Linked DNA regions of Sus scrofa. The protein of the gene in region 1 interacts with the protein of each later gene in a biochemical or structural test. Links are inferred from orthologs where the notes say so. Each region holds a gene or a part of one and is shown in the gene's direction. Other genes may lie near its edges.

The links.
Region 2: of the proteins of PCNA (region 1) and USP1, one has a biochemical effect on the other in vitro, tested with the Homo sapiens proteins (6 studies listed by BioGRID, with this or other methods). The link is inferred for Sus scrofa from reciprocal best matches to the Homo sapiens genes PCNA and USP1.

What each region holds. Positions count from the first base shown.
Region 1 is NC_010459.5:14,139,168-14,144,801, reverse strand, and holds the start of PCNA (proliferating cell nuclear antigen), read left to right. Parts: upstream 1-2,217; 5' UTR 2,218-2,258; coding exon 2,259-2,479; intron 2,480-3,375; coding exon 3,376-3,473; intron 3,474-3,632; coding exon 3,633-3,700; intron 3,701-4,433; coding exon 4,434-4,628; intron 4,629-5,634. UniProt on the Homo sapiens protein: Auxiliary protein of DNA polymerase delta and epsilon, is involved in the control of eukaryotic DNA replication by increasing the polymerase's processibility during elongation of the leading strand.
Region 2 is NC_010448.4:149,973,007-149,977,146, reverse strand, and holds part of USP1 (ubiquitin carboxyl-terminal hydrolase 1), read left to right. Parts: coding exon 1-121; intron 122-768; coding exon 769-970; intron 971-1,763; coding exon 1,764-2,496; 3' UTR 2,497-4,140. UniProt on the Homo sapiens protein: Negative regulator of DNA damage repair which specifically deubiquitinates monoubiquitinated FANCD2. Also involved in PCNA-mediated translesion synthesis (TLS) by deubiquitinating monoubiquitinated PCNA.

The sequences.
Region 1 (5,634 bases):
TGATATGCATGAATCTTCTGACTGAGGAACACAAAATTCCCTGAACAGGATAAATAAAACTAAATCCATACCTAGATATATGGTAGAAAAACTAAAGAATTCTATAGACCAATGTAAAATTTTAGAAGCAACTAAAGAGAAATGCTGTAAACAAGAGCAAAAAAGAAACAAAGGGGGATATTTACAATAGGGAAATGATTAATACATGATGTGTTCCTTTTAATCAATAAGAAAAAGACAGTTTAATAGAAAAATATAAGCATGTAATGGTCAAATATGTGACAGGAGCTCCCACTGTGCTTCAGCGGGTTAAGAACCCGACTAGTATCCATGAGGATGTGGGTTCAGTCCTTGGTCTCAGTGGGTTAAGATCCTGCATTGGTGCAAGCTGTGGCATAGGTTGCAGGTGCATCTCAGATCTGGCATGGCTGTGGCTGTGGTGTAGGTCAGCAGCTGTAGCTCCTATTCAATCCCTAGTATGGAAACTTCCATATGCCACAGGTGTGGCCCTAAAAAGAAAAAAAGAAATATATGAAAGCTATCTAACCTGTACCAATCATTTAATGTGCAAATTGCATATTAAATATTGACTTTTTCACACAAATGAGCACAATTTCTTTAAAAATGAGGTTGCTAATACCCACAGAAAAATTAGGGGAGATGAGCAGGCTCATTGTCCTGGCTATAACATAAATTGAAATCTTTTAGAAGTCAGTTTAGTAACACATTCATCAAAATTTTCATGTATATGCTCTTTGATCCAGCAATACTACCTCAAAGACTTGCCCGAATTACAAGAAATTGGTAAATCTTTTTTTAAAGAGATGATGATGTAGAAAAGAAGTACGTGGCATAAAATTAAACATACTTTGTTAAGTATTTTGCATAAGTGTTTACAGTATAAACCGTTTTTTTGTTTTTTGTTTTCAGGGCCGCGCCCGAGGCATAGGGAAGTTCCCAGGCTGCGGGTAGAATACGAGCTACAGCTGCTGGCCTATGCCACAGCAACTCCAGATCCAAGCCGCGTCTGTGACCTACACCACAGCTCACGGCAACGCCTGATCCTTAACTCACTGAGCAAGGCCAGGGATCGAGCCGCAACCTCAGGGTTCCTAATCGGATTGTTTCCACTGCGCTACTAGGGGAACTCCCTGAATTTTGTTTTTATTTAATTATTTATTTATTTTTGTCTTTTCTAGGGCAGCTCCCGCGGCACATGGAGGTTCCCAGGCTAGGGGTCCAATCGGAGCTGTAGCCACCAGCCTACTACTCCAGAGCCACAGCAACTCAGAATCTCAGCCGCATCTGCAACCTATACCACAGCTCACAGCAACGCCGGATCCTTAACCCGCTGAGCAAGGCCAGGGTTCGAACCCGCAACCTCATGGTTCCTAGTCGGATTCGTTAACCACTGCGCCACGACGGGAACTCCTGAATTTTGTTTTTAAAAGTACATTTGTACAAAAAAAAAAGCTTAGAAAGTTGTATGCAGTAAACGATAGTTTGGTGTGTGTGTGGTGGGGGAGGCGATGGCAGTGGGGAGCCACGATAACTGTTTTCTTTTAATCATAACTGTACATCTCTTTATTGTTCACTTTTAGGAACGCTTCTATAATTGCTACTCTATAATAGCAGGGGGAAAAAAGTGCATATTTAAAGTAGCTATACTCTTTAGGCGCATGGTGGCTCTTCCTCCTAGAAGGCTGGATTTCCGTTTCACCTTCACTTTCAAGGCTGTAAATGTCCCATCCCTCAAGCGGGAAATTGATGAGGCACCACAAAGCCACCTCAACGACCCCCCCCCAAGCCTAGGCCTGACCTTCACACTTGCCCCGACTTGTCTAACGTCCGGGCGCCGGAACACGACAAAAAGGCGGGGAGCCCCGCAGGATGCCTATCAGCAGGCCCTCGTTAGGCGCAAGATTCCTGCCCCGCCCCTACGCCCACACTCTCCAATGGATGTTCGGGGTGGGACGGGCTTCATGTGGAGCAGGGACACGATTGGCTCCGCAGCCTCTCCGCCCAGGCAGTGGGCGGGGCAGCGTGGTGACGTAGCCATGAAGGGCGTGGGGGCGTAGCGCGCGCTCGCAGACGCGGCTGTATTAAACCGCTGCAGGCGCGGCCGGCTGGCAGTGTGCGTCCTCCGGTTCAGGCTCTGTTGTGGTGTTTTCCTGCTCTCTCTCAACTTCTGAAGCCTAAGCCGGCTACTCCTTCCTTCTTTCTTCCACCTGTAGCCGCGTCGTTGTGATTCCACCACCATGTTCGAGGCGCGCCTGGTCCAGGGCTCTATCCTGAAGAAGGTGCTGGAAGCGCTTAAAGACCTCATCAACGAGGCCTGCTGGGACATCAGCTCCAGCGGCGTGAACCTGCAGAGCATGGACTCGTCTCATGTCTCTTTGGTGCAGCTCACCCTGCGCTCCGAGGGCTTCGACACGTACCGCTGCGACCGCAATTTGGCCATGGGCGTGAACCTCACCAGGTGAGTCCCGAAGCCGCAGACTGTCGGGCCCGCGGACACCCCTACCTCCGCTCTTGGCGGGAGCGCCCATAAGGCGGGCCCTTATTGGCTGGCGTGGGATATCTGCACCTTTCTTATTGGCCTGTGGCGCGGGGCGGGGGGGCGGGACCAGTAGCAGAGCGCGCGGTTCGGAAAGCCCGCGCTGACTGCAGCGCGAACCGGCTGTTTCCGCGCCAAAGTCACAAAGCAAGTGGTGGCGGGAAAACGACGGGCTTCTTCGCGGTGCCAGGAAAAGATTGTTGCGGAGCCCTTGGTTATTAATTGCAGGCGCCTTTAGATGAGCCGCTTTATAATTTGCCCTACTTCTGTCGCCGTGATATGGACAATAGCTTACTTTTTTACCGCAAAGTTGCAGTGAACATCCTAAGATCCTGGATTTGAGGAAAAATTTCTCCAGGAAGGACAGTGGTTTTAAACTTTTTGATCACTACCTTTCCTAGTACATACACATGTTTAAGTTTTAAAGCTTGTGAAAAGTGTTTACCCGTGCTACACTCAATATAATAGACTGGTGCTTCAGTGGGTACATTAAAATCTAAGATCGTCGCGGCCCAATAATTTACTTCACCCACCAAAGGGATTTGTACTTTCTAAAATACTGGTCTTTTTTTTAATATCCCGAAGCGAAATTGCACATTGTGGGGTGTGGGCTTTTTCGTATAAGTATAAATACTGGCAGATTGCATTCCAAAACGGCTGGACTCTCTTACATCTTCCTGCAGTACGTTTCCCAAACTCGCCAATTCGACACGTGGTCCAGTGGTTAAAAGTGGTAACTCATGGTTTTAATTGAGTTAGAAAGCTAACGATCTTGAGAAGATGGTGTCGATTTTAAACTCTTGTCTCCTGTGTTCCAGCATGTCCAAAATACTAAAATGTGCTGGCAATGAAGACATCATTACGCTAAGGGCAGAAGATAATGCAGACACCTTGGCACTAGTGTTTGAAGCTCCAAGTAAGTTACACCCTTCTGAGTTAATGCTAGAGGAGATTAGAATGCAGTGTCTTTATTTCCCAAAGCTGAGAGAAATTTAAGATAGTTTGTGGTAATTGTAAAATTTATCACAATTATAAACCTACATGTTTTTCTTCATCGTTTGCTTTCTTTTGGTAGATCAGGAAAAGGTTTCAGACTATGAAATGAAGTTAATGGATTTAGATGTTGAGCAACTTGGAATTCCAGTGAGTATCAAAGTTTCTGATTGAGCATACTACATACAGTCATGATAGTTACATAAAATATATTAATATAATAAAGCCTACTTCCTAAAAGAGCTTTTTCTGTATATCTGCTCATGTATGTTCCAAATCCGAGTATTTAGACTGATATAAATGATGGTATTCTGCAATGGCTCATTGTTTTGAATTGATTGCTGCCACATGCATATTTGCATTAACCTAATTGACTCTCTTCTTTTTATTCCTACAATGCTTAATTTTTTATTGAGTACATTTTAAAGCTACTTTAGCAGAAATTCATTATGCTTTGGTTTATCAACATTAAATGAGAGAAGAGGGTTTGGATGTTTAATATGCCTAGTAATTGTATTTTCTTGTTTTGTTTTTCAAAAAAATGACGGCCTGTTAGCACCGTCATTGTGTGTGTGCTATACCCTAATGTTCTCTTGATTTAACCCTGTAGATCATTTAAGGGGAGGCTCTTGTTCCCTGGACAGTGCATTTACTATAAAAGTTCAAGTTCTTATTTGTTTCCTTTGATTATTTTATAACATTCTTGTTCTATAACTGTGTTTACGTTTTGAGTGGTTAGAGTATGTTAAGAAATTACACAAAGTGATATTTCAAAATAATTAGAAAACCTTAAATTCTCTTGTTTAAATGCTGAGTCTTCAGACAGTAAGGGTGCCAAATCTTTCATTTCCATTCATTGAACTTAAGTTTCCTTGTTTCATAGGAACAAGAGTACAGCTGTGTAGTAAAGATGCCTTCTGGTGAATTTGCACGTATATGCCGAGATCTCAGTCACATTGGAGATGCTGTTGTAATTTCCTGTGCAAAAGATGGAGTGAAATTTTCTGCAAGTGGAGAACTCGGAAATGGAAATATTAAGTTGTCACAAACGAGTAATGTTGATAAAGAGGAGGAAGCAGTAAGTAATTTCTAAGTAAACACAGTACTTTGAAAAGTAACTTTATGCTGCTGTAACAAGATTCCATAGACTAAGTGGCTTATAAACAACAAAAATTTATTTCTTACAGTTATGGAGACTAGGAAACTGGCAGATTTTGGTTTCTGAACCGCTTCTTGGTTCACAGATAGCAGCCTTCTGTGAAAAGGGGCAAGAGAGAGCTTTGTGGTCATTTGTAAGGATATTCACGAAGGCTCTGCCTGCTTAACCCTAAGTATCTCCCAAAGGCCCCACCTCAAACAGCATTACATTCATTACATTGGGGATTTGGTTTTAATGTGAATTTGGCAGGGGAAGGGGGGATGGGATGGGACATGACCGTCTGTGGCAAGGTAATTGCTAAAATTAAAGAAAACTCTAAAGAAAAATAGTCAAAATTTGCATTTCCAAGTAACTAATTTGTGAGAACTTGAAAGACTTGATGTCTTAAGGTGGTTTATAAATGCCATCTAAATTGTGAGAAGGCAATGCAAATTCAGTGCAACCTTTATAAACTATAGAACAATGGGTTTGTGTATCAAACCCAAACATAGAATAGGATTGGGAAGCTATATATATCCGAATATTGTGGAAAATTTGATTTAAAACAAACAAACTGGGGAGTTTCCATTGTGGTTCAGTGGTTAATGAACCCAACTAGTATTCATGAGGATGCAAGTTCGATCCCTGGCCTTGCTCAGTGGGTTAAGGATTCAACGTTGCCATGAGCTGTGGTGTAGGTCACAGACACAACTTTGATCCCCAGTTGCTGTGGCATAGGCTGGCAGCTGTAGCTCTGATTCGACCCCTAGCCTGGGAACTTCCATGTGCCACAGGTGCAGCCCTAAAAAGACCAAAAAAAAACCCAAAACAAAAAATCTGTATTTGCTATTTTTACCAAGTAAGGACTTTAAAATATACTCATAAATAGTAATAAAATAATATAAAAAAGTATAGTAATAAAAATGCAGAGGCTAATTCTTTTTCT
Region 2 (4,140 bases), on another chromosome or scaffold:
CTGGTATTAAGGACTCGTTGCTTAGAGTGTGAAAGTTTAACAGAGAGAAGAGAAGATTTTCAAGACATCAGTGTACCAGTGCAAGAAGATGAACTTTCCAAAGTAGAGGAAAGTTCTGAAAGTAAGCAAAATTGGAGCTTTGTATGGACCATTGAATAATTATAGTTTTTTCAACAAAGCAGTCTAATAAGTAGTTTGTATAATAGAAAAAAACTGTCTTTCAGTGTCTGGTTTAATAAAGTCGGCTTATACAGCTTCTCTTGTTAATAGTTATTAGCATTTGGAGAATTGTGGCAACTTTATTTTGATGTGTAGAGCATGTTAAAATGGGAAAATGAAATGCTTTAATAAGTTAACTTGGGGTACTTGAATCTCATCACTTGAGCCACTGTTTTGTCTAGTATAAGCTACAAAAAGTATAGCAGTGTCAGAGGAAATGATCATGAGACTAGTTTACCTGTTGAGATATTATAAATGGACTGAAATATGAAGTTCTGTCTCACATGGAGTCAAGAGACTATGCTTATCTTGATTTTCCCAACCCTGCAACCTGAAATTTTTTGGCTGACCAGACATATTTAAATGCATGTGTACTCTGAGGATGAACTTAAAAGTTTCTGAAACTAAAATAAATAAATACATGTCTTATTATTTGGTAAAGATTAGTTGATTGAAGTTGCTTGCTAATTTTGAACATGAAACTTTGTGGCTGAAGTTAATAAATTTGAGAGATTTTTCATTTGTGAGTGAAAGGATTCTCTTGTGTAGTTTCTCCAGAGCCAAAAACAGAAATGAAGACCCTGAGATGGGCAATTTCACAGTTTGCTTCAGTGGAGAGGATTGTAGGAGAAGATAAATATTTCTGTGAAAATTGCCATCATTACACTGAAGCTGAACGAAGTCTTTTGTTTGACAAAATGCCTGAAGTTATAACTATTCATTTGAAGTGCTTTGCTGCTAGTGGCTTGGAGTGAGTATGCTAAAGTTTTGTTCAAAATACTATATAGTAACAAAATAGTGTAGTAGTGTACTTAACAGTTTCTATAAAAAAGCATCAATCAGTTTAACCTTTGGTAAAAATGCATATGATTTGTTTACACATTTTCCATTTTCATTTCTTTAGATTTTTTTAGTGGAACTGATGAAAGTGGCGAAAATTTTGTATACATCAACACTTTTTTGAGGGAAGAAAAAAAGCAAAATTATTTTAGTTTTTCTGGTAAGCAAGCCAGGAAATAAAATTAGTCTTTGAACAATTTGAGAGATTTTTCTGTAGCTGAAAATTTAAATATCTAAAAGCAATTAAAAATAATATAAAAATGCCAGTTTAGATAGACTTGACTTTTTTCTGACAGGTATACATAATGTCATTGCAGATGAATTGAGATTACCACGAGAGCTTCCCAGTAGCTCTCCACACATTGTTATTTTCTTTCTTTTTGTATTTTTTGTCTCCAAAACTTGATAGAGACAGACTTCACATTAAAATAACTTAATAAAATGGTTGAGAATTTTTTAAAATCCATTTTCTTACTGCACAAAAAAATTTAGGGAAGTGCCATATATCCTTCATAGAAGTACCTGAATGTTTGTTAGTACTTTTTTCAGTATTCCTTATGTAAATACTTTACAAAATCAAGGTCTTATTTTTACTTTGTGTTTATTCATATGAACAATAAATGTTAAGGGTTTGTTCAGTTGGGTGTAAAACTGAATATATATAATTTGGAATCCCAGAAAACTTTTCTTTTTTCCTTCCTAAGGTTTGATTGTTATGGTGGTGGACTTTCCAAGATCAACACTCCTTTACTGACACCTCTTAAATTGTCACTGGAAGAATGGAGCACAAAGCCAACCAACGACAGCTATGGATTATTTGCAGTTGTAATGCATAGTGGCATTACAATTAGTAGCGGGCATTATACTGCTTCTGTTAAAGTCACTGACCTTAACAGTTTAGAACTAGATAAGGAAAACTTTGTGATCGACCAAATGTGTGAAGTAGGTAAGCCAGAACCACTCAATGAGGAGGAAGCGAGGGGTGTGGTTGAAAATTATGATGATGAAGAAGTGTCCATTAGAGTCAGTGGAAGTACCCAGCCAAGTAAAGTTTTGAACAAAAAAAATGTAGAAGCTATTGGACTTCTTGGAGGACAAAAGAGCAAAGCAGATTATGAGTTATACAACAAAGCATCTAATCCTGATAAAGTTGCCAGTACAGCACTTGCTGAAAACAGAAATTCTGAGACTAATACTAATGGGACCCATGAATCTGATAGAAACAAGGAATCCAGTGACCAAATAGGCATTAATATTAGTGGATTTGAGAACAAGATTTCGTACATAGTGCAAAGCTTAAAGGAGTATGAGGGGAAGTGGTTGCTTTTTGATGATTCTGAAGTGAAAGTTACTGAAGAGAAGGACTTCTTGAATTCTCTTTCCCCTTCTACATCTCCTACATCTACTCCTTACTTGCTATTTTATAAGAAGTTATAGTGAGCGTATTTTCCTTGTGTATATATTAAACAGACCTGGACAACATCAGTAAAAGTCTTTAGCTAATCTTCGGAAGCTATTGGACATTATTGGTCTCTCTAGGTTTTTATATAAATAGTGATATTTGAATTACTGAAAACCATGTTAATTTTTAGAATTCATCTTCCTTAGTAGAGACTAGTGATGCATTAGCTTCTGGGAACAAACTTGTATAGGTTCTTAATTATTCAAAATGGAAGCATTTAAACACTTTTGAATTTACACCTATCTTTTTGTGTTTGATTTTTAAAATAAAGTGCTTGTATTTGTATCTCCATATTTTGGAGTAATTATCTACATGAGGTTTATAGGTCCTGTGGTTTTTTCCAGCTAAGAAGCAGAATCTCACTTTAGTTTTTTATAAGTCATGAAGCCAAATCTTTGATGGGCTATATTAGAGGCACAAAGTCTGGAATATGTACGTATTCACAATAGGGTACATTTTGTGCCTTGAATTACTTTGAAAAGTGTCTCAGAAAGCTTTGGTAGTCTGTCTTCACGAGAGTTTTATATGTATTTATGAAGATGCTTCTGTACTCTAGTAAATCTTTTCGGGCATGTACTAATTTGTACCTCTTCATAGTCATACTCTGCATGATCTGTATATAGTACATCAAAGGTAGACGCGTGACCTTAAATTTAACATTTTTTTAAAAACTGGGAGGTCAATAAAATTTAAACTGCTTAACAACTATGTATACAAATGCTTGAAGTTTTGTTGCATTTTTTTTAATATCACAAGTTTGGCTGGTTTCTCCTAAGAGTATGTGAAATGTGTTACGTATATACACACATCTAGATAAGAAAATAAACATGCGTAATTACCTTTAGTAATAATACTTTTTCACAGTTGGAGGTAAAGAAATTCTCAAAGAGGAGAGTGTGTCCGTCTAGGTTGTCATACCTTATCCTTTAAAGCAGATGTATAACTAAGGAATCTCAAACTGGAGAACTTAAAAAACTTGGTTAAATTTTCATTGTAAATATAAGTTGGTAAATGACCCATTTTCGTTTTATATATAAGTTGGTAAATGACCCATTATGACTTGTTAAAGGATATAAGGATATTTTTGACATTAAGAACGTTAAAAATAATCCCAAAGAATATGTAAGTGCTCTAGGAATAACACTGCTGTACACCATTTCAACACAAAGAGTATCTGTCAACTAATAGATTACAGTTAAATAATGTCTTAGAAACTCTTTCACAAGATGGTGTGATATAAAAAGTCACAGTTCTTACCTCTTTCTATATTCAGAATCACTAATGTGACTTTTAAAAAGTTAACAGTGCTAAATACTACCCATAAGCAGCTGAGGGAGTAGGAATCACTAATGGATAAAGTGATTATAAAATGAAACAGTCCTGAACACTACTCATAAGCTTCTGGTGGAGTAGTTCCTTGTATAGAGAACCTGAGCTTCTGTAATACTCAAGAAACAGCCAAGGGTAAGAACTAGTACAGATTCTTCATAAGAGAAAGTTTAAGAAAACTGAAGAATATAGTAAGTTAGGAAGTGTTCAGTTATACCAATGTTTTAAGAGAAAGCCTCTTCTGATTCAAGTCAGACAGTAGTATTGCATGATAACTGAATCATTAATTA